2 linked regions of the Anolis sagrei genome follow. The protein of the gene in region 2 interacts with the protein of the main gene of each other region in a biochemical or structural test. Links are inferred from orthologs where the notes say so. Each region holds a gene or a part of one and is shown on either strand. Other genes may lie near its edges. The genes, in order: GAS6 and TYRO3.

Region 1 (12,247 bases), on a different chromosome or scaffold from region 2:
GTAAGGGGGGAAAGGAAAAAGGCTTTTGAGGACAAAGGAGATAGGAAAGGGTTTGGGGGGAGGAGCAGGAAAGAGGAGGGAGAGTGAGGAGGGAGAGAAGGAAAGAAGAGGGAACAGCAGAGCACACTTTGAGAACCACTGGCCTAGGGTGTTGGTGGGGTCTCCTCCCCTGGGTATGTTAAAAAAGAGGGTAGACAGCTACCGATTGGTGATGCTCTAGATTGAAATCCTGCACTAAGTAGGGGGTTGGACTCAATAGCCCATGAGGCCACTTCCAACTATGTGGTTTCAAAAGGTTATGATTACTGAACACCAAAGCTATTTAATCACATCTTCAAGCTCAATATGTCACCCTCTGAAAGGCATTCACCCCTTCTTCCTTCGACACTTTGAAAACTGGAAGGACACAACCTTCACTCCCTTCCCTTTCAGGCAAGTAGAGTACACAACATCAAGATTTGTAGAAATTGGAGGGGAGGAAGTTCAGAAGAAAATTAAAATAAAAAGGCATATAATGCTAGACAAACAAATGACATTCCTTTCATAGATGTGCTTGTCTTCGTAAAAGTAGTAGCAAAATAAAAATGCAGTAGCTGAAAATAAACACAACTTTTCCTTGTAACAGTGGAGCACCACAATTCTATTAAGGCTGTTAAACATCAGTTTATAACAGAGTCATGCAGTGCTGACAAAACAAACACAGGCAGCATGTTTGCTCATTTACAGCAACCTTCCCAAAGGAAATCCAATAAATCAAACTGGTGGTCTCATGTTACCTTTTTTATCCTCAGGGTAGTTTAGGTTTAGTGAGAGCCAGCATAGTGTAATATTTTGAGCATTGGACTACAACTCTGGAGACCTGCATTCGAATCTCTGCTTGGCCATGAAAGCTCACTGGTTAACCTTGGGCAAGACATTCTCTCTTAGCCTCAGAGGAAGAAAATGGCAACTAATCCTTCCAAGAAAACCCTGAGATAGGATCACTAGGGCCCCTTCCACACAGCTGTATAAAATCCACATTGAACTGGATTATATGGTGGTGTTCAAAGCAGATATTGTGGATTATCTGCCTTGATATTTTGGGTTATATGGCTGTGTAGAAGGGCCCTACATCAGAATAACAACAAGAAGTCCCGCCTGGGAGTGTTTTTAGTAGCTGAATTCTATAATATGCTTACTATAGGGTCACCATAAATTGGAATCAACTTGAAGGCGCTCAACAACACAAACTCTATTACGAATTACTGCAGCAAAGTTGTATACCTGGATTGCATTGAGATTTTTAATCAACTAAATATGGCATTAACAGTAATATTAAAAAATAAGTTAGGACTACAAATATTAGAAAAGGTAATTTATGGCAGCAACGAGTTTAATATGTATGCTCATCTATTTAACGTATTCTTTTATACAGCAGAGATAAAAACAACGTATACTAGAACCTGTCTCTTTCTGCTTCAACCCAACTTGGAGTCTATTTTCAAAAGTTCAAAATAAATTCCACAATAAGAATGCTTTTGCTGTTGATTCTTATTGTTTTGCAACATTTCCTTGTGCTCTGACAGGGCTGTGTTGTAAGCTTATTAAAAGTATACATGACATGACATGTTTTGCTTTGAATACAAAACATTTGCTCTTCTAACATAAGGGAGCCAAGTCCCTCCTGTTCCCAGTACTTTTGACCTAAATAGCACTCATTCTACCAGCCAGCACCCCATCAAATCATTAACGGGAACGTGCAGCTCTATGCAGAATCACCAGTCAATTTCTCCTCCAGGAAAATTTCCCCTAAACTAATGCCAGATAATCCCTGCAATAAAAGAGCCTGTTTAAAACAGCACATCAAAAAGATGCAAGCAAATCAGAAATAACACTCAAGCAATCACTGAAATAGAAATATACATATATGTTGAAGTACCAGACACTCATGAGAGGAAATGTGATGTAATGGTTTGAGTCTTGAACTAAGACACTGGGAAACCAGGTTTAATTACTGCTCAGAAGCACACTAGATGACTTTGGACAGGTCACACTCTCTATACATCTTGCAGCGGTTCCCAACCTTTGGTCCTCCAGGTGTTTAGGACTTCAGCTCCCACAATGCCTAACAGCTGGTAAGCTGGCTTGGATTTCTGGGAGTTGAAGTCCAAAACACCTGGAGGACCAAAGGCTGGGAACCACTGCAAGGGCAAATCCACTCTGAACAATGCCTGCAAAGGAAACTCCACAATGTATTTTACTTGGGGTTGTTACAATCAGAAATAACTTGAAAGAACACAACAGCGAAGTCAGACAATTTGAGCACCAAAGGCTAATACAAGTTTGCTAATGAATTATTTAAAATTTAAGTACCTTCTAGGTTATTCAGAGTTTCAGCACTAAACAGCCTTGACTTCTAACCACCTCAGATTCATTCTACCTAATGATCAATTTATTAACTGCATACATTTTACCTCCAACCAAATATTTATCCAAAAATAGCACCAAATTCCCCTAATCCAAAACAAGACTTTTGATTGCTTGCCTAAATTATGTCAGCTGTTTTCAGCAGCTAACATCAGCAAAATCTTTACACTTGCAAAGACTTTAAATATTTAAGTGGTGAGGGAGAAGATGTAAAGAGGTGGAAAATAAAGACATCTCCGCACCCCCATCCTTATTAAATGCTATGCTGTACAAACCAAGTCCTCCTCCCGCTTCTCCCCACCCCATGCTGGGAAATTCCAGCAACTCAATTCTGGCTTGCACTAGGATTTGTCTTTTCAAAGGCATTTTTAAAAAAAAAACCTGACTCCTGTGTTGAAGATTAATACTTAGTTCAATGTAAACAACCCCTCCTCCCACCTTTGCCTTTTGCTACTCTTCCTTTCTTGGACTGGCAATCCAAATCCAATCCTGTTAAATGAAGTGCTGGTTAACCCTCTGCGGTTGGAGATATTTATCTCAAGAGCTCCACCTCCTCCAAACAACTTCCCCAGCTGTGCAAGCAGCTGGCGGCCTCATTCCTTCTCCTCCTCCTCCTGCCTCTGCAGGACTTGGCATTGCCCATCACATACATACATATACACACAGAGAGAGATAAACTGAATGCAAATATATGAGGATGGGTCAACAAGTAATGCCTCCATTACTTTAACTTTTATTTCTTTCACAGCTACAGGACTATCTAAGCATGATATGATAGAGGTAACCTTACTCTACGGATACAGTCTTTTCTTTTTCCAATTGACTGATTAGAACTATGAATCTGAAGCTAAAAGAGTCATTTAATTTCTGGCAAAAGAAGGTTGTGAACCTAAGGAAATCCGTAACTGCTTGAAGGATGTTTATGGGGATGATGTAATGGACATCAGCAATGTGCGACCTCTGAAAAACAACCTACATGGTTTCAAATTCAATGACCTGAATGACATTCAAACAGCTTTACAATCATGGGTCAGGAAGAAAAACCCTGATTTTTTTCCAAAACGGTTTTGATGCCTGGTTTAAACAATGGTGCAAATGTGTACTAACTGAAGGAGACTATGTTGAACGATAGTTTTGAGTAGAAGATAGTTCAGGCTATGATCTATAGTGACTTCTGCTGTTCTATGTTCATTCAAAATATTTTTATGACACGGGAGGCAAAACTTTTTGACCCAACCATGTATAGTGTATAGTATAGTGTGGATTGAGGATTATTTTTATTTTGATGCAGCACATTCTGTGTGCAATGCATAGCTGGATACAAAAAGGTTGGTAAAGCTGGTGGAGAGGGTTTTGAGGGAAAACTTGAATTTCTAAATGCTTGTTGAAAATGACTATCTGAACAGAAATTGCTCTGCATTTGGCTGCCAAGTATTGAAATTGTGAGCAAGTTGTAAAACTTAATTTTGAAGGATTTAAATCAGGCATGAGCAAACCTGGGCCCTCCAGTTGTTTTGGAATTCAACTCCCACAATTCCTAACAGCCTACCTGCTGTTAGGAATTATAGAATAATGGAGTTGGAAGAGACTTTGTGTGCCATCCTGTCCAACCCCTGCCAAGAAGCAGGAAAATGGTATTCAAAGCACCCCCGACAGATGGCCATCTAGCCTCTGATAAAAGCCTCCAAAGAAAGAGCCTCCACCACAGTTTGGGGCAGGGAGTTCGACTGCTGAACAGCTCTCACAGTTAGGAAGTTCTTCCTAATGTTCAGGTGGAATCTCCTCTCCTGTAGTTTGAAGCCTTTGTTCCACATCCTAATTTCCAGGGCAGCAGAAAACAAGCCTGCTCCCTCCTCCCTATGACTTCCCCTCACATATTTATACATGGCCCTCATCATGTCTCCTCTCAGCCTTCTCTTCTGCAGGCTAAACATGCCCAGCTCTTTAAGCCGCTCCTCATAGGGCTTGTTCTCCAGATCCTTGATCATTTTAGTCACCCTTCTCTGGATACATTCCAGCTTGTGAACATCCCCCTTAAACTGCGGTGCCCAGAACTGGACACAGTATTCCAGATGTGGTCTGTCCAAGGCAGAATAGAGGGGTAGTATGACTTCCCTGGATCTAGACACTAGACCCCTATTGATGCGGGCCAAAATCCCATTGGAATTGTGGGAGTTGAGTCCAAAACACCAGGAGGGCCCAAGTTTGTTCATGAACATGCAGGTGTTGAGTGAAAGAAAACTATCTGCCACTGCATTCTGAGGAGGAGTCAGTGGTTTCCACCTGACTGGCAAGGAGAGGGTGGGGGAAAGGTGAAGAACTCCTGATGTGAAATGACATCAACTCCCATGGTTGCATAGGATTGAGGCAAAGCGCTGTGGAGGTGCATTCCCTGTCTGTCAGGTGCATGCCCTGCCTCCCGCCCTGGCTCTCACCGTCTCGGGGTCGTTCTCGAAGACCTCCCGGGCCTCCTCCTTGTTGCAGAGCTCCTCCACGCACTCGCGCTCCAGGTGGCCCTGCTTGGTCTCCTCGAAGATCTGGTAGGCGCGGCGGGGCCTCTGGCGCAGGAACTGGGACGCCTCCGCCCGGTCCCTCAGCACCGAGGTCGCTGCGAGACCCCCAGGAAACAGGGCAGGAGAGGAGAGAAAAGGGGAGCGAAGGGCTCTTTCAATGCAAGGCGGCCACTTTGGGAGCCCCTTCCCCTTCCTCGCTCCCTCCCTCCTTCCTTCCGCGGTCCAACTCGAATGGAACAAAGAGCGGAGGGGAGCCGGCCTCGCACTTCCCCAGAGGTCAAGCGCGCCCTTCCTTGTCGGGGTCATTGTTTACATTCAAAGTCCTCCTTGGGCACTTGGGGCTTCCTTCCTTCCTTCTTCCCCACTCAGCGCTCTTTCCCCCCTCAGGGACCCCCAAGAAACGTCCCTCAAGCCCAGCATTGCCCTCACAATGACATCCCCGCGCCCCTTTTCCCCACTGAGGTCACCTTTTGGGAGGGGAAATGGTACAGCCGACCCTTCGAGCCCAATTAGAGCGGAAGGGCGCAAGAGGAGAGTACGGGGGGGGGGGGATGGATGGGGTTCTGAGCCTTTCTCCTGAGAGAAAGCGCACCCCTTTATTTAAGGGCAAATGGTCAAGCCGACCCTGAAAGCTCCTTCGGAGCGGAAAGGCGCAAGAAGGAAGGGGGGGGGGGGGGAGAGAGAGAGAGAGAGAGAGAGAGAGAAAGTCTTCGCGAATAAGCCACCCTGAGCTTGAGAGACAGGGCTGAAGGGAGGATGCCCTGACCTTGAAGGAAAGGCAGTTTACAGGCACACGGGAGGCTTCTCTCGCTCTCCACGCAAGAGGCTGCGTGGAGTGTCAAAGAAGATGTCTCTCGGTCCACAAAGGGGAGGAAGGTGGGAGTGGGAGCGGGGTTATCCTCCAAGGAGAGAATGGCGGTGGAGGGGGGAAGGAGGGGAAAGGCAAGGCAAGGCAAGGCAAGGGCGGCCCGCCGGGCTCCCTCCGGCCGTGGCGAGGCTGCTACTCACTCTGCGAGGAGTCGGTGGCCAGCAGGACCAGCAGCAGGGCAGCAGCCGCGGGAGCCGGCGGAGAGGGCTGCATGATGCCGAGAGGCTGGAGCTGGGTCTGCGCCCTCTGAGAGGAGCCGGGCTTCCTGGCAGAGGAGGAGGAGGCAGGAGAAGAGGAGGAGGAGGAGGAGGAGGAGGGAGCGCCCACACTGCGGGACTCAGCCGAGAGCAGCGGGGAAGGAGAAAGAAAGGGCGCCCTCCCTCCCTCCCTCCCTCCACTGGGCAGAGATCAAGGAGACTGGAGGGCTGGCTTTATCCTGGAGGGACGTTGCCCTCCTTTGTGAGTTCCCTTTGCCTCCCTCTGAGGCTGAGAGAGTGGGACTCGCCCACTCTCACCCAGTAGGTTTCCAGGGCCAGGCTGGCCACCAAATTACTGGTCAACTGGGTTATTTTTGGGGCTATATGGCCATGCTCTAGAAGCATTCTCTCCTGACGTTTCGCCTGCATCTATGGCAGGCATCTTCAGAGGTTGTGAGGTCTGAAGGAAACTAGGAAACTTGGGTTTCTAGTGTTCCCTCACTTATCGTGGGTGTTATGTTCCAGGATCACCCGCGATAAGTGAAAATCTGCAAAGTAGGGATGCTATATTTATTTTAATATTTACCGTGTTCCCTCACTTATTGCGAGGGTTACGTTCCAGGACCACCCGCGAAAAGTGAAAATCTGTGAAGTAGGGACGCTATATTTATTTTAATATTTACAGTGTTCCCTCACTTATTGCGAGGGTTACGTTCCAGGACCTCCTGAAAAAGTGAAAAACCACGATGTAGGACACTATATTTATGTTAATATTTATACATTATTTTAATAGTTATACCCTATTTTAAGTCTTTATAAATGTAAAATAAAGTGAAGGAAAAGCCCTTCGAGGCTGGAGGGAGGGAGGACTGAGGAGGGAAAGTGCTTCGGAGAGCGGCAGCAGCAAAAACCTGCGAAACAGCAAAAATACCATAGTGTATAAGTGTGTGGGGAGGGTTTATAAAGACTTAAAATTGTGTGTAACTACTGAAATTATGTATACAGTGTTCCCTCACTACTTCGTGGTTCGCTTTTAGCAGACTCGCTGTTTCACGGATTTAAAAAAATATTAATTAAAACCGCAAATTAGTGAGTCCGTTAAAAGTGAACCGCAAAGTAGCGAGGGAACACTGTATACATTAATTCAGTAGTTATACACAATTTTAAGTCTTTATAAACCCTCCCCACACATTTATACACTACAGAACACTTTTCCTTTACCTTAGAAACAAAATCCTTCAGTCACTTTAGTCGAGCAGCAACTTTTAGACCAGCCCCTCCTAGGTGTGGCTCCGCCCACTCCTCTCTCCCCCCTCCCCTCTCTCTCTCACTCAATCACTTTGCCTTCTCTTTTATCTCCTCTTTCCCCTCCCTTTCTCCCTCCCTTTGCACACCACACTTCCTGCTGGCTCCTCCTCTCCTTCCCCTCCTCCTTTCTTGCTCACACACCTTCTCCCTCTTCCTCCTTCCCCCACCCCGCGGCTCCCCCCACCCGCCTCCCTGTCAGTGCAATGTCTGTGCCGGGAAACATGGCATCAGAGGGAATAATTTTAACCAACCACGACTACCAAATCCACATGGGGGTCCTCACAGGTAATGGGTGAGCCTCAGGGCTGAGAGGGTGCATGGAAGTTGCAAGTGAGAAGGAAAGGAAGTTGCGAGGGAGAATATTTAAAATAATTTCAATAAATATTTTAATTCATATTTATTGAAAAACCGCAAAACAGCGAGTTCGCAAAAAGCAAAGTAGCGAGGGAACACAGTATATATCTGTGGAATGTCCAGGATGGGAGACAGAACTCGTTTCAGTCCAAAGCAGTCTGAGAGGGTGAGACAAGAAGAATTCAAAAAGTCCTTTCCAAAATGGTCAAAGCTAAGTCATCTCACCAACAACTAGGTTGCAAGCCAAAACCTATTCCACACACCTAACTTAAGGCACACCTCCAGAGATACAGGCTGTAACAGTTTCACTAATGTTGCTTCCAGCACCTAACTGACCCAGTCTCCAGCTACTTACACCACTTTCCCAAGTGATCCCAATCTTGGCCCTCCTCACAGCCAACTGCCTGGGTCCCTCCAGTTGAATGGCATCAGTTCTTAATTGCAGGAGTCCCTGGTGGCACAATAGGTTAAATCCTTGTGCCAGCAGGGCTGCTGACAGAAAGGTTTGAATCTGGGGAGCGGGGTGAGCTCCTGTCTGTCAACTCCAGCTCCCCGTTCGGGGACATGAGAGAAACCTCCCATAGAATGGCAATACATTTGAGTGTCCCCTGGGCAACGTCCTTGCAAACTGCCAATTCTCTCACAGCAGAAGCGACTTGGGAGTTTCTCAAGTCGCTCCTAACACAGGGAAAAAAATGTTGCTTCTAGCACCTAACTGATCTGGTCTCCAGCTACTTATGCGACGTTCCCAAGTGATCCCACTGTTAGCCCTTCTCTCAGGCAACTGATTCGGCAAAATTTCAGGAGACAATGCTTCTGGGACATGGCCATACAGACCGGAAAACTCACAGCAACCCAGTCTACCCTGCAGAGAGTGCTTTATTGCTTAACAAACAACAAAAAGCAAAAAACAATCAAGGTATTGCTTTCCTTTTCAGAACTGAGCACCAGCTTTATAAAGTCCTGCCTGTAAACTCTCGTTCAGGAAAGAATATCATCCCAATTAGTTATTAGTTCATCAATCATACATCTCAATCCTTTGTTCTAATGTCTATCAATTTTAAGAGGTTCAATTTACTTTCACTCATCTGTTCTAATTAATAGCAGTTTTTTATTGCTTCCTCCTAGCCAAACATTTTGGACCAATGGTCTCCTCTAGAGCCCACAATATTATGTCCCATGTTTGCACTTATGGCATGACTTTGAAGGAATTATAACACCAGCGCTCTGGAGGCATAAAAAGCAGATGGGAAGGGAAAGTGGAGGTAATCAATTACCTGTCCCAATAGTTTAATTAGCCCTCAGCCACCCAGCTATGCCCTTGATGCATCCTTATTTTAAGTATGCTTCCATGCAGACCAGTACCTACAATGTACTTTGCATTCCATAGAGCTGTTTTCTCCATATAATGTTATTTAGATGTAATGCTTGCTTAAGCACATTAAGGAATTTACCTTGGACCTAATGCATTTTAAACTGGTGGGGATGAAAGACAGGGCCTTCTCAGTGGTGGCTTCTTGTCTACGGAACGCTCTCCTCAACGAAATTAGATCAGCGCCCTCCCTCTTGGCCTTCAGGGGGGAAAAAGCAAAAACATGGTGGTGGAACCAAGCATGCAGGATAAGAAACAAACATGGAGTATGTGCAATTGTTACTCCGAACGCTGAGCTCAGGATTAGCCTACTACTGTGTTTATGGTGTTGCTGTGTATTGATGATTTAATTTGTAATTGCTTAATTGTTTTTATATATGTATGTATATGTGACAAGGCATCGAATTGTGCCTTTCTCTGTAAGCCGCCCTGAGTCCCCCCTTGGGGGTGAGAAGGGCGGGGTAAAAGTGACGGAAATAAATAAATAAATAAATAAATAAAATTTGATACTGGAACGGCCTGGACCATGCTTTTGAATCATGTGATTTTAATGTTTATATTAATATGTTTTTAATCCCTTGTTTTAATGTTTAAATGTAGTTACATTTTATGATTTAATTGATAGTTTTATGTTACTGTTGTTTTATGTTACGTTGTTCATGTTTTCTAAGGACTTGAATTTTGTTGTGAATATGTTGGAAACCGTCCCTCCAAGCAGTATATAAATGAAGTTAATAATAAATAAATAGACTTTAATTTGTACTGAAGCATGCTTTGGCGGCATGCATTTTCTAGCCACCACATCTTGGTGTCAGCTTGAAGCTGCATTAAATTGTCAGTGTAGATGTGCCCAAAGCCAGCCTATGGCAATGGGGCTGTTGTTTATGTTCCAAATTCTTTTTGAGCCATTGAGCTGTTTGTCTTAGGTGCTGGAAATGCTTGCCCTCTGGCATTAGGGATTTATTTACGGGTGTGCCTTTGTGTGTCTTCCTTTCCCTCCAGCTGCTTCAGATTTGAGAACTTCCTTTCGTGGATTTTAGTTACTTGAATATAGCATTTACTCACTTGGGAATTAGCCACCTATGTTGGACCATGCATTAAAAAAGACTATTGCATACCTTGGAAGCTGTATCAAGCCAGTCCACAAGGGGTGGGACATCATATACCATGGAGTATACAGGAAATAGTATGTTATTGTTATTATAGAAATATCAAATATGCTGTAATGTAGTCAGTTTAAAAATATATACAAATTCAAATACAAATCTTAAATGTATCTCTATTGCAGGTAAGTATATACATAATTGGGATACATAAATCTCCTCTTAATAGGCAATTTAGAAGTCAATTATACTGACAAGATCTGTCTAATAGTTCAAAAAGTCAATTTTAATTTACTTCAAGAACCGTTTGTTACATGAAGAGTTGTCGTAATGTCAGAAAAGAGTTCTAAGAGGTTACTACAAGGTATCCCGGGTAGTATTTCCTTGTTTTGGCGTTTGTTGTGGGTACACCTTCCTCAGGTAATCCTTTCTTCTCTATTCCTTCCAGTGTTGTTTGGTATTACAATAGGAGTTAAGCCTCTGGCACTAGAAGAAGGCCCTGTCACTTGTACTCACCAACCTAACTTCACAAAGATCTCAAATTTTTGGGAGGCTCAGAGGGAAGGAGATAGCAGATCTATTATTGTGGCCCACAACCCTTTCAGGGCTCTGTAGGTTAAAGCCAGTACTTTAAATTGAAGTCAGAAGCAAATTGGAAGCCCCTGCAGTCCATGTAAGATCAATGTTATTTGATTACTATACTTGTATATAACTGATATGAGTCAGGCTGCTGCATATTTTGCTCTCTGTTTCACCTCCTCCAAGGTGAACTGAACCACCTAAATTGGGCTCTACAGGCCAATGAATGTTTCACCACAGACATCCAAAGAGCTGCAAGACAAACATCCCCACCCCCGGAGGAAAAGTGTTCTTTCTTACCATACATCAAGGGAACCACAGATCATGTAGGGAAGCTGATGAAGAAACACAACTTACAAACTATCTACAGACCCGCTAAGAAAATCCAGCAAATGTTCAAGCAAAGGACAAGAGGGATCCTCTCAACTCTGCAGGAGTCTACTATATACCATGCAGCTGTGGACAAATCTGCATAGAGACCACCAAACGCAGCATTGCCCAAACACAGATCAAGGAACATGAAAGGCACTGCAGACTACTTCAACCGTAGCAGAGCACCTGATGAACCAACCTGGACGCAGCATGTTATTAGAGAACACAGAAATGCTGAACCACTCTAACAACCACCATGTCAGGCCACACAGAGAAGCCATTGAAATCCACAAGCAATGTGGACCATTTCAACAGAAAGGAAGAAACCATAAAAATGGACAAAAATCTGGCTACCAGTATTTAAAAAACTCCAAAATCAGGACAGTAAATGAAGAACAACACTAAAAAGCAGGGGAAATCTAGAGAAGAAACAATCTGGGCCAGCTAATCACCTCCCAACAAAGGATGCTTCCAGGCAGTAAGCAGCCAGGCTTTGAAGCTGCAAGGACATTCAATGCTAATCAAGGTGACTAATTGCAACATTCACACCTGCATCAAACAGACAAGAGTTCTTTCTCCCACCTTGGACATCCTCATTTGCCTAGTTTCCAAGAGACCTCACAACCTCTGAGGATGCCTGTCATAGATGTGGGCAAAATGTCAGGAGAGAATGCTTCTGAAACATGGCCATACAGCCCATAAAACTCACAGCAACCCAGTACTTTGCTCTTGCTGCAGTTTCCAACACTATCAAGGGCATTTCCCATACTGAGGGCACTGCAGTAATCTAACTGGATATTAAAGAATCCTCAACCTAGGTTTGTCCGTCAAGACATATTGTTCCAATTTGGTGCTACAGCCATATGACTACTTTCAAGTAAACTCAAAAGGAATCAGAACTTGAAAAGATTAATTTTGGACCCACATCTCCTAGAATATCCCATGGTTACTTCCCCCACCCCCTTTTCCCCCTGAGTTCTATATAGGGCTTGGGTGCATATTTATTTGAAAATCATTTGGATAATAATACATTTATAAATATTATCTATTAGATAACAAACATCTGTAGCTGGTCCAGGCTTGTACTAGGTCAGCCAGAAACAACCAAATGACACATGAGTGTAAATTGTTGACAGATAAATTATTTTATAAAGGGAAATGCTTTTTAACAGCAA
Region 2 (13,188 bases):
ACTCACATTTGCATGTTTTCGAATTGCTAGGTTGGCAGAAGCTGGGGCTAACAGTGGGAGCTCACGCCCCTCCCCAGATTTGAACCTGCAACCTTTCAGGAAGCATGTTCAGCACCTCAGTGGTTTAGCCCACTGCTCCACCGGGGGCTCCTATCCAGAACAAACCACAGACAATTCATTATTATGTCCCATTTTTTTCAAAGACTTTATAGAACCAGATAGGGTGGGAGCTCTATACAGGGACGCCCAATTTTCAGAGAATTGCAGCAGTGAGACAGGGCTTTATTTTAACCTTCTCCTTCTTGTCTCTTCTTTTCCATCTGCTGATGTCTTTCTCATTACCTTCTGCTAAAAATGTAACCCAATACTGGCTTCAACTTTCACCTATTCACCCATATTATGCACCTTGCTGGAAATACAGGCAATTCAATCCCATCTATGACCTGAATATAACACCTTTGTCTCCCGGTATCACTTATTTAGAAATAGCAACTTCCACTCCAGTACCATCATAGGGAAATTGATCATTGCAGCACAAACAAACAATGGTCAGCAGATCTTGGAGCTGTGAATGCAACAGGTTTTGTCTTCAAGTCAAACTGAGCTCAGCAACTTACTTAACCATCACCTTCAAAACAACATGAGTTGGTTCCTGTATTATGAACCAGGATATTTACAAATTGAGCCTTGTGGTAATATACCATTGTATTTTCATTTTTTTTAAAAAATTCTCCTTATGAACATTTATAGCTTGCATGCAAAGTGTTAGGTAACCTTCCATTTTTTTCCAACTAAATCTTATCTACCGGAGAGGAAATTGGAGGGTACTTATAGAAAAGGATCTGGCAGTTCATCCTTATTTATATTTATTGAGAAATTTAGCCCCACTTGACTTAATAAAAATTGTACTCAAAATTATATCATCATATCAAATTATATCATTATATCAAATTAGAGGGGGGAAATAAATGTCAACAATTTTGAAAATGCAGAACACAGAAAGAACTGCTGTGTTTTGTAATTGTCATTACCATTTTGGAATAGTTATTCCCAAAACATTAAATCAATACATAAAACGGTATAGGAACATGTGTTCATGTGTGTTTTTATAATCTTCTATAGACCATGCTAGAACATACTAGTTCAGCAGTATGTTTACCACTGCTTTAAAAAACTCATTGTTTTTTTTTTTTTTAAATTAAGTATTTATAATCTATCCTCTTAGGACGCCAAACAATAACATCAATCTAGAACAGGCATGGGCAAACTTTGGCCCTCCAGGTGTTTTGGACTTCAACTCCCACAATTCCTAACAGCCTGCCGGCTGTTAGGAATTGTGGGAATTGAAGTCCAAAATGCCTGGAGGGCCAAAGTTTGCCCATGCCTGATACATAACAATTAAAAGCAATAAGAATATTTTTTAGACTCTAAAGGGGTATTAATTCATTTTTCACAAATGTATTGGATGTAACCACAAATTATGGAGACCCTTCCCACATATAAGACTAGAGGTCACTATTTGAATATGAAAACAAATACAACTGCTGAAGGTCTTAAATACAGTATTTAAAATGCTGGCTGCAAAGCAAACACCAGCATCAAAATATTTCCAGTGGTTCTCGTTATTTCAGATGGTGCTGCTTTAAATGGTGAGCTCTTAAAAACAAATATATGACATCTCATAGCAGTCAAATAAAGGCTTTAGAGTGGAGACAGGGAACCTTTGGACTCCACATGTTGCTGGAACAGAAATCTAAACATACCTGGCCATCAGTTACTTGCCTGACTATTTAAGAAACTGTTGACCTACTCCTTCATGTTATAGTTTGCTAAGCATAGAGAAATCTATCCATTTCCTCACTGAGGATTTCTGAAAAAGCAAGGGATCTACCTATGGAGGGGTTTAGAATAAACTCATGAGAGCATAATTGTGCTAGAAACTCTGCTTAAAAAAACGGAACAGTGCATTCAATCAATAAGCTACTTGAGATGAGAAGGACCACATGTTACTACGGCAGCAAAGTCGTGACTGTACATTCATAGCTGCAGAACCATAGAGCTGCGAATAAGTTTGTTGTTGTCCTGTGTCTTCCAGCCATTTCTGATTTACAGAAACCCTACAGCGACCCTAGTACAGGGTTTTCTGAGGCCATGCGATTTGCCCAGAATCAAATAAGTAGAGGAGAGGAAAGACTTCTATTTAGAGGGCACAGTTCCGAGCAACTATTGTCTCGATTCTAGATATATATTACCAGAAGTGAGGGATTAAATGATAAAATTGTCCTCAAACCACTCATAACATTGAACTGAAGGGGGGTTTTTTTCTAAAGGAAGGGAACATGTTTTTTATAATTAAGTTTTGTAACTTACTCCCGCTACGATTAGCAAGCAAGAAAAGATTTAGGCCAGCATCTCACCAAGAAGTGTGTGTGTGAATGTGTGTGTGAATGTGTGTGTGTGTATTGGGGTGGGGTAACAACTGAACTTAAAATAGCAGCAACCCTCCCTTCATAAGATGTCAATTGTCAATAGCATGGCCATATAGCCCGGAAAACTCACAGCAACCCAGTGATTCTGGCCATGAAAGCCTTTGACAACACAGCAATTGGAATGTTTGTAACCTTTATTCAGAAGTCCAAAATACTCCAGAATTCTCTGCATGGATCCTATATGCCATAGTAGTTGCTTTCTGGTAGTCTAATGGGCAGCGACATGATTTCATGCACAAAATTAAAATTGTGTATAAAATTTCCTCATACGTAGTAGATGTATGGGAAACGTAAGTGAATTTCATGCCCAAGATAGGACACGGTAGGTTCATATATATGCAAATGTAAATGTATATGAAAGAAATCAAAGTCATGTTCAGACTTGGTCCCACCTTGAAGATATCACACAGTACGTGTCTGTGTGTTTATAGATAAAGGTTTCCCCTGACATTAAATCAAGTTGTGTCCGACTCCGGGGGGTGCTGCTCATTTCCATTTCTAAGCCAAAGAGCCAGTGTTGTCTGTAGACATCTCCCAAGATCATGCAGTTGGCATGACTGCATGGAGCACTGTTACCTTCCTGCCGAAGCAGTACCTATTGATCTACTCACATTTGCATGTTTTTGAACTACTAGGTTGGCAGAAACTGAGCCTAACAGTGGGAGCTCACCCTGCTCCCCGGATTTGAACCACCAACCTTTCGGTCAGCAAGTTCAGCAGCTCAGCAGTTTAACCCGCTGTACCACTGGGGGTTCCATACACACACACACACATATACAAATGTATATGAAACATAAACAAGTCTCATGTTTAGACTCAGATTGCACTTCCAAGATATCACACTGGGTGTGTGTGTGTATAGATGTGGTTTCATGTTAAATTCCTTGTTATGTTTTATCTTTTTGGTGTACCTTATACTGATTGGGTTATTACTGTTTTTATATTTTACTAGCTGTGCCCTGCCCTGTGGTGTAGTCCTGTTTGTATTGTTGTTATTTCATAAGCCGCCTGGAGTCCTTCTAGGGCAGGCATGGGCAAACTTTGGCTCTCCAGGTGTTTTGGATTCTAACTTCCACCATTCCTAACAGCTTAAGTGGCTGAGGGGGAAAAGGAAGGGGTCTGGGGCTGTTAGGAATGATGGGAGTTGGAGTCCAAACCATCTGGAGAGCACAAGTTTACCCATGCCTGCCTAGGGAGATGAGGCGGGATATAAATAAAGATATTGTCAAAGGTTTTCATGGCCGGAATCACTGGGCTGTTGTGAGTTTTCTGAGCTGTATGGTCATGTTCCAGTAGCATTCTCTTCTGATGTTGTGAGGTCACAAACTCTGAGGATGCCTGCCATAGATGCAGGAGAAACATCAGGAGAGAGTGCTGCTGGAACATGGCTATACAGCCTGGAAAACTCACAGCAACCCATAAATAAATTTATTATTATTATTATTATTATTATTATTATTATTATTATTATTACAGATACATACATACAATAATGCACACACACACATGCAAATAAAAATGTATACAAAACATAAACAAATTTGATGTATAAACCTGGGGGCCCTCGCCAGATATATTGTTATGTTTGTATGTGTTTGGTTTCAGTTCGTACAGATTGTTACGGCTTTTATAGTTAGCAATGTATCAAGACATATAGTGTGTGTGTATAAGCATTTCGAATAAGGGATAATCAGCCTGTGATAGGAAATCACAGAACAAGAGAGCAGAAGGAGGAAGTCCATTCCTCAGTATACATTGTTATGGCTTTTATAGTTAGTAGGGTCTAAAGACATATAGTGTGTGTATGTGTATTTTGAATAAGGAATGTTCAGCCTGTGATAGGAAATGCCAGAAGAAGAGGGCTGAAGGAGGAAGTCCATTCCTCAATACACATTGTGATGGCTTTTATAGTTAGTAGCATATAGAGATGTATAGTGTGCCTCTGTGTGTATATATAATATATTTATAAGCATTTCGAAGAAGGAATATTCAACCTGTGATAGAAGGAGGTTGAAGAAGGAGGTTGAAGGAGAAAGTCCATTCCTCAATACACACATATACATGTGTGCAAACAAATGTATTTATGTATAGACTTGGAGCCCCTCGCCAGATATATTGTAATGTTTAAATATGTCTGGTTTCAGTTTATATACATTGTTACAGCTTTTATAGTTAGTAGGATATAAAGACACATTGTGTGTATGTAAGCATTTCGAATAAGGAATACTCAGCCTGTGATAGGAAATCACAGAAGAAGAGAGCAGAAGAAGGCAGTCCATTCCTCAACACACACACATATATGTGTAAATATAAATGTATGTATGTATAGACTTGGGGCCCCTGGCCAGATATATTGTAATGTTTGTAGGAGTTTGGTTTCAGTTCATACACATTGTTATGGCTTTTATAGTTAGTAGGGTATAAAGACATATATGTGTGCAGGCATGTAGCTGGGGGGGGGGGGGCTTGAGGGGCTTCAGCCCCCCCCCCCTGAAATTCTCAGGGTGGTCTGCGAGAAGGCCTTGCTGGTACATTATTTAAAGGGTTATGTTTATTCATATCATATCCCATATGCATGGGGGTATTGGGGTAACGATACAAAAGGTTTGCTAGGGTAGACCCTCTTTTTCTCAGACTCACCCCCCCCCCCCCAATCAAACTCAGCTCCCCGCAAATCAAAATCCTGGCTATGGGCCTCTGTGTGTGTGTGTGTGTGTGTGTGTGTATAAATATTTCAAATAAGGAATACTCAGCCTGTCATAGGAAATCACAGAAGAGAGCAGACGGATGAAGTCCATTCCTCAATACACATTGTTATGGCTTTTATAGTTAGTAGGATAATAATAATAATAATAATAATAATAATAATAATAAACTTTATTTATAAAAAAGACATATAGTGTTTGTATAGATAGATAGATAGATAGATAGATAGAGATATATAAGTATTTCAAATAAGGGATTCTCAGCCTGTGATAGGAAATGCCAGAAGAAGAGGGCTGAAGGAGGAAGTCCATTCCTCAATACACATTGTTATGGCTTCTATAGTTAGTAGGGTAGAAAGACATATAGTGTGTGTGTATTTCGAATATGGGATATTCAGCCTGTGATTGGAAATGGGAAGAAGAAGGCTGAGGGAGGAAGTCCATTCCTCAGGAAACAAATCACGCGTGTCACCCCCTGTTTGTCCCACAGACGGAGCAAGAACTGAGCGAGGAGCCCTTGGAACTCTCCTTCGGGGACAAACTTGAGTCGCCTTCAAAGCGGAAGAGGGAAAGGAAGACAGAGGGAAGGGAAGGGGCGAGGGGCGCCCCGACCCGCGCCCGGCCCTGCTGCTGGCCCCGTGTGGTGTCGGTGTGGGGCCCGTCCCCGCCTCCTCCTCCTCCTCCTGCTCTCCTTCCTCCTTGCTGCTTACCTGTCCCCGCGGCGACGTCCCGCCGAAGCAGCAGCGCCCCGAGCAGAGGCGGCAGGAGCAACAGGAGTCCCCGGATCTGCATAGTCTGATTCATCTCCATTTCTTCCACATCATCATCGTTGTCACCATCCTCTCCGCTCACCTCCCAGCCCGGTGCCTTCCTCTCCTCGCGGACACACAAACACACACAGGGAGATTTCCTTTCTTTAAGCAAGGGGGGGGGGGAGAGGAGGAGAGCCCCCAAAGAAAGCCCTATTTGTCCGTGTGTGGAAAGAGAGAGAGAGAGAGCGATCAAGCAAGGCGCAGGGTTTTCTTTCCGCCACACGCCCTCGAAGGAAAGGACCCGATGTGGCCGAGCGGAGAGAGACTCCGATGTTCTCCTCCTCCTCCTCCTCCTCCTCCTTCTTCTCCGCCTCTTCTCCCCTTTCCGAGCCGGGAAGGTCCCCCCCTGCCGGCCTCCTTCCTTCAGTACAAAGGCTCCACTCGGCTCCCTTTCCCTCCTCCTCCTCCTCCTCCTCCTCCTCCTCCTCTTCTTACGCGCGGCGTGGCGCTCGCCTGCCTCCCTCCTCCTCCCTCCTCCTCGGGAAATGGCGCTTTTGGGAGGCCTCCTCGTGACATCACTGGCAGCCTCATAGACACCTCTGCCTCCACGCCATGCCTTGGCCCTCCTCGCCTGAAGTTTTTGAGGGGCCGGGTTGTTTTGTGTCAGGATGCCAGGGCTCTGCCTTATTCAGGTAGAGATGAACCAAACAAACACCCAGTTTGTATCAAACAGTTTAATTAAAACAGCACTTACTTTCTGGCTGTTTTAATAGTCCCAAATATAAAACATAAAGATAGCCTTCTTTGGCGATCCCTCCTTGTCTGAGTAGGATTGCCCTCTAAGATCGGTGTCCTGGCAGTGGGTCCCTAGGTGACTGTGGAGCCCTATTCTTGATCTGCATGTTCTCCCACAGTGAGGGCATCGGTTTCGAGGTGGAAAGCTGTCCTGGTTGGGTTTGGCTTGATGTACCTTTCTCTTGGCCCGTTTCTCTCATTCACCCTCCATTCCTGCCTCTTCAAATTCTACAGCACTGAACGTCACAGCTGACCTCCAGCTGGAGCGCTCAAGGGCAAGGGCTTCCCAGTTCTCAGTGTCTATGCCAGAGTTTTTAAGGTTGGCTTTGAATGCATCTTTAAACCTCTTTTCCTGCCCACCCACATTCCATTTTCCATTCTTGAGCTCGGGGTAGAGCAACTGCTTTGGAAGATGGTACTCAGGCATCCAGACAACATGGCCGGTCCAGTGGAGTTGATGGCGGAGAGCCATCACTTGAATGCTGGTGGTCTTTGCTTCTTCCAGCACGCTGACATTTGCTCACTTGTCTTCCCAAGTAATTTGCAGGATTTTTCAGAGGCAGCTCTGATAGAATAGTTCTAGGAATTGCATGTGACATCTGTTGACAGTCCATGTCTCACAGGCATATAGCAGGGTTGGGAGGACAATAGGTTTATAAACAAGCACCTTGGTATCCCTACAGATTTTTCGGTCCTCAAACACTCTGTGCTTCATTCAGAAAAATGCTGCAGTCGCAGAGCTCACGCAGTGTTGTATTTCAGTGTCAACGTTAACTTTTGTGGAGAGGTGGCTGCCAAGGTAGCAGAAATGGTCAACGTTTTCTAATGTTACACCATTAAGCTGTATTTCTGGCATTGGAGAGGGATTGGCTGGTGACTGCTGGAAGAGCACTTTGGTTTTCTCAATGTTCAATGACAGGCCGAGCTTCTCGTATGCTTCTGCGAAGGCTTGTAGGTCTTTTTCGGAATGCGCACAGACGACATCATCAGCATATTGGAGTTCTATAACAGATGTTGTTGTGACCTTGGTTTTGGCTTTCAGTCTGCTGAGGGTGGATTCATACTATAGTGTGACAAAGGCTGGTGAGGAGGCACATAGTCTCTCTCTGTTCCAGGGAAGGAGGCGCCACCACACTCCATGGCAGCATATTCCACTGCTGAACAGCTCTTACTGTCAAGAAGTTTTCCCTAATGTTTAGTTGGAATTTATTTTCCTGTAGTTTGACACCAGGCTTGTAATCTTCATACACATGGAATAATTGCACAAAATGCATTGCAGGAGCATGCGGGCCTTATTTGGCTTTTGCAAGAGGAATATTAGAGCGTAAGGATCTAGCTTTTTGCCCTTGGCTCTTTCGTACACAGTTTTGTCATTCAGCATTTTTCTTTCTCCCATTTTTCCCCCTGCACAGGCAGTCTTGCATGAACAAGGGCTGGCTCCACCATCAGGCAGAATGAAGCAATGCCTTAAGTGGCAGATACTTGGCTCAGGAGGCGGCAGTGACATCAGGCTGTGGTGTTGTGTGCTGACACCACAACCATTGCCTTTTGTTGGAGCACAAAGGAGTTATACATATGCCACACTGCTATCCGTTACCCGTTATAAGCTAGTGTTCAGCTGAATTGCAATGGTAGATACTGCCACATCCCTAGAGTTGACATTTCAGATAGCACTGCATGGGAATACCTTCAGGCAGCAGATTATCTTACCATTTTACTCAACAAACACTCTTTCATCCTCACCCTTCCCTTGGTACTATGCTCCATAAAAGGCTTTTACGTGTCCAATAAAATATAGGGCCTGGTAATGGTGGGGATCTACCAACAGATACTGAAGAATATGGAATTAAAAAAGAGGAGAAATGGGTAATTTTCTGAAAAATCTAACAGTGCCACAACTCTTTATTTCAAAAATAAGATCCACAATGTTCTATGGACTCATTGTTCTGTGCCTTCAAGGCAGCTCTGACTCTTGGTGACCTTATCAGTTGATTTTCTTGGCAAATTTCATTCTTCGGGGGTTTTTTCATTGCTTTTCTCTCAGGCTGAGAGAGTGTGGAGTAGCTCAAACTTGTTTATTGGGTTTCCATGGTTGAACTGGAATTTGAATTTTGGTCTCCTGGATTCCTGCTTGGTCCTTGAATGTTGGTCCTTGAAGATGATGTTTGTCATTCCTGGATTTGTTGATAATGAATAAGGAGGAATTGGTCACTGGAATCAAAACAGTTGGAACTTAAGGCAAAATTGTGCCTCATATTAAGAAGGACATAGACATGCTGGAACAGGTTCAGAGAAGGGCAGCAAGAATAATAAATATGAAGAAAAAGACATATGAGGAAAGGTTGAAGGAGCTGAGTTTTAGCTTGGTGAAGAGAAGACCGGGGGTGGGGGGGGGGGGGAGTGAACTGACTGCACCCTTCAAATACCTCAAGTCATTACACAGAGAAGGGTCCAAGTTTGTCCTCTGCTGACCCAGAGGGTTGGAAAGGTGTTAGGACAGTAAATTTCAATTGAACATTAGCAGAAATTTATTGACAGTAAGAGTGGTTCAGTAATGTAGCCAATTGCTTGGGGAGGTGATGGGATCTCCTCTGAATGTCTTTAAAGCAGTGGTTCCCAACCCTTTTTGACCAGGGACCACTTGACCAGGGAACACTTTGATGAGGGACGACTCTCCAACATTAGTACCAAAAGGGTTACAAATCAGTTTTTAATCAACTTTAAACTCAGTTTGGTTGTTTGGAGTGCTGCATGGGATATACCACATCAGCTTTAGTTTCTGATACAGAACATATGCCATCCAGTCGTTGCCATCTACTCGCACATAGAAAACCTGATTTAATAAGCCTCAGCACTATAAAAGGGTTTCGTGAGACCATCACTCTTGTTTGCAACGGTGTAGTAATGGTGAGGCCACTGACCATATTTTAGTTCTTGCAGATGATTGGTGGTCCATGGACCACAGGTTGGGAACCACTGCTTTAAAAAAAGGTTAGCTTCTGGGGGTGTTTTAGCTGAAGAACTGCATTTAACGGGATTGGATTCTGTGATTTTATAAACAGCATAACACAACATGTACTTCAATTGCACGATAACCTTATAGCTAGAAGCTGTGACACAAACCCATCACTTGGAAGCAGGATTAGTTAATTAAGTTGGAGCACAAAGGAGCACATCTAGGACCTTAAGATCATCTGGGGATGTCCTGCTCTCATTACTGCCTTCGTCACAAGTATGTTTGGCGGAGACAAGAGACAGAGCCTTCTCGGTGGTAGCCCCTCAGCTGTGGAATGTCCTCCCTATAGATATTAGATCGGCCACCTCCCTTTTAACATTCCGGAAAAAAGTCAAGATGTGGCTTTTTGAACAAGTGTTTGCAAATGCAGAGTAACTGACATAGGAACTACACAATGAGTCTGGACAGCGTTAGGAGGCATTTTGCATTTTTATTTTATTGATTTGTTTAGTTTTTATTATATGTTATGTTTTTAACTGTATTTATGACATTGTAAGCATTGAATTTTGCCCTGTTAACCGCCTTGAGTCGCCTACGGGCTGAGAAAGGCAGTAGACAAATACAGCAAATAAATAAATAAGTGGCGTGCCTTTCTCTGGAATCACAACTTTGTCCATGAAAGCGTGGACCATAATGCATTTGGGAGACATGGAGGTACCACAAAATTCAAGGCATGAGAAATTATACCTGCCCCATGTTTCTGTGATGGGTAAACACACAACACACTTAGAAAAAAAAGGAATAATAATGCCCGCCCCCTCTCACCAGTACACACAGATGTACCTTTGCATACATTAACATGTAGGGCTTACGCAAAACATTTTTTCTGCCTGGGGCCGAAGAGCAAAGAGTGTTTCACTTGTTCTGTTGAAGTGCATAATTGAACCAATAAACGTTGGTATTTGTGGCAAGAAACCCTATAAACACCTTTCCTTTCATAAAAAATACAGTAATAATTAAACCGATTTTCTGTTCTTGATCCCAAATCAGTTACCCAAAAAGGGCTGTCTTACTTAGATTAACTCTGGTGCCTGCCTATCCTTATTGACAGATAGCTATCCACTGATAACATTTCTCCTTGGCTTCTTCTCACCAGTGTCTCTTGATCCTATCTCTGTGCTAGTAACTGATTCATTTATTCCCTGTAATGATTATAGGCTTTATACAAACACGATTAAAATAAATTGAGTAACATTGTGATGTATAATTGTTCTGCAATGTGCACATAGCTGAAAGTAAGCTTTCTCCAATTCCATGGGATTTGTTTCCACATAATCAAAAACAAACACAACTGAATAAAGAATACTGAATTTTCCAGTTCCGTGTTGGCTGGGAGCTTCTATATCAGCGGTTGGTAAAACCGTTCCAGGTTTTGGTTGTAATTTTACACAAAACAGCTTAGTTTCCTCCTTTACAGTTTGGGCTAAATCTCAAAGCAAGTTCACAGCCCTGCCGACATGGAAGCTGTCATTTGATGCTGCCAGTTTCCTCGCGTATGAAGCTTATGATTTCATCATTGTAATTCTCACTGCTTCACATATAAAGCTTATGATTTCGCCTTTCTAGTAATAGGATCCTGGTTAACTATTATTACATAAAACCCCACCCTGCAATTTTCACTTTCTAGAGGGTAAGGGTGGGTATGTTAAGATACTCTTATCTGAGTTCCTGAAAAGATTGAGTGCATGTGTGCTTAAAAAAAACCTGAAAACAACAGTTGTGATACATACTTACAACTGGACTTTGACTCTATAACTCCCAGATAACTACACATGCCACTACTGATTGTTTTCACTAGTTAAATAGCATTTGTTGCTTACATTAGTGGTTCTCAACCTTCCTAATGCTGCAACCTTAACATAGTTCCTCATATTGTGTTGACCCCCAACCATAAAATTATTTTAGTTGCTACTTCATAACTGTGATTTTGCTACTGTTATGAATCGTAATGTAAATATCTGAGATGCATGATGTATTTTCATTCACTGGACCAAATTTGGCACAAATACCTGATACACCCAAATTTGAATACTGGCGGTATTGGAGGGATTAGTTTTGTAATTTGGGAGTTGTAGTTGCTGGGATCTATAGTTCACCTACAACCAAAAAACATTCTGAACTCCACCAATGGAATTGAACCCAACTTGGCACACAGAATTCCTATGACCAACAGAAAATACTGGAAGGATTTGGTGGGCATTGATTTTGAGTTTTGGAGCTGTAGTTCACCTATATCCAGAGACCACTGTGAACTCAAACAATGGTGGATCTGTACCAAACTTGGCATCAGTGCTCAATATTCACAAATGCAAACACTGGTGGAGTTTGGGGAAAATAGACTTGACATTTGGGAGTTGTAATTGCTGGGATGTATAGTTCACCTACACTGGGTTACATGGTGAAACCCCCTGTCAATTGTGTCATGGTTTCTTGTGAGCAGTATGGAATTTCCTATAGGTAGAATACTATGTATGTTATATACCAACTGGGTATATCTGCACTGCAGAATTAATGCAATTTCATACCACTTTAACTGCCATGGCTCAATGCTATGGAATGCTGGGATGTGTGGTTTGGTGAGGCACTAACAGTCTTTGGGAGAGAAGGCTTAAGAGACCTTGAAAAACTAAACTCCATTGAGCCATGGCAGCTAAAGTGATGTCAAACTGCATTAATTCAGATGCACCCAAACCTACATATAGAACAGTGTTGCCGTTGGAATGGAATCAGCGAGAAGTTACCTGTTTTATCCTATATGATGGCTCACTCTGTTGCTATTTGAAGAAAATTACAGGAAACACCCATAAGATAGTTAAACCTAAGGGAAATACAGCAATATGCATTCTCTAAGGTACCCTGCAGTTCCCCACATAGTTCAAGATCAGTATGAACTACAGAAGTGGTAGGGAAAAAGACAAGCAGGAACACTTTACCATCCCACTACTTCACTTTCAAACACACACACATACCACCTACTTCCTTTGCTCCTATTGTGGGGTTTCAAAGATGTGTATGGAGAAACAAAAGACATTTTAAATCCAAAAGATGAGGGGAAGAAGTGGTTTGGAGATGTCTGGTGTGAAAAGCAGAAATGAAAATCAGGAGTAAAGACTATGTAGGGTGCCTTCCCTGTGACTTCTCCACAGTAAGATTGCATCCATACTGTAGAGTTAATGCAGCTTGACACAACAAACTGCCATGAATAAATGCTACGGAGTGACAAAAGTTGTAGGTTTACAAGACCTTTAACTTTCTCTACCAAAGAATGCTGATTCCTTAGCTCTTAGCTATGGCTATTAAAGTGGTGTCAAACTGCATTAATTCTACAGTGTAGATTCACCCCAAATCTCATTCCCAAAATCACTCTCAAAACAGTTGTCAAACTTCTTGTGTAACTCCAACTTCTTGTGTAATTCAAACTATCATGTATC

The links.
Region 1: the proteins of TYRO3 (region 2) and GAS6 form a complex in vitro, tested with the Homo sapiens proteins (2 studies listed by BioGRID). The link is inferred for Anolis sagrei from reciprocal best matches to the Homo sapiens genes TYRO3 and GAS6.

What each region holds. Positions count from the first base shown.
Region 1 is NC_090023.1:108,205,791-108,218,037, reverse strand, and holds the start of GAS6 (growth arrest-specific protein 6), read right to left. Parts: upstream 6,121-12,247; 5' UTR 6,001-6,120; coding exon 5,928-6,000; intron 5,015-5,927; coding exon 4,842-5,014; intron 1-4,841. UniProt on the Homo sapiens protein: Ligand for tyrosine-protein kinase receptors AXL, TYRO3 and MER whose signaling is implicated in cell growth and survival, cell adhesion and cell migration.
Region 2 is NC_090021.1:288,264,262-288,277,449, forward strand, and holds the start of TYRO3 (tyrosine-protein kinase receptor TYRO3), read right to left. Parts: upstream 6,397-13,188; 5' UTR 6,005-6,396; coding exon 5,905-6,004; intron 1-5,904. UniProt on the Homo sapiens protein: Receptor tyrosine kinase that transduces signals from the extracellular matrix into the cytoplasm by binding to several ligands including TULP1 or GAS6. Regulates many physiological processes including cell survival, migration and differentiation.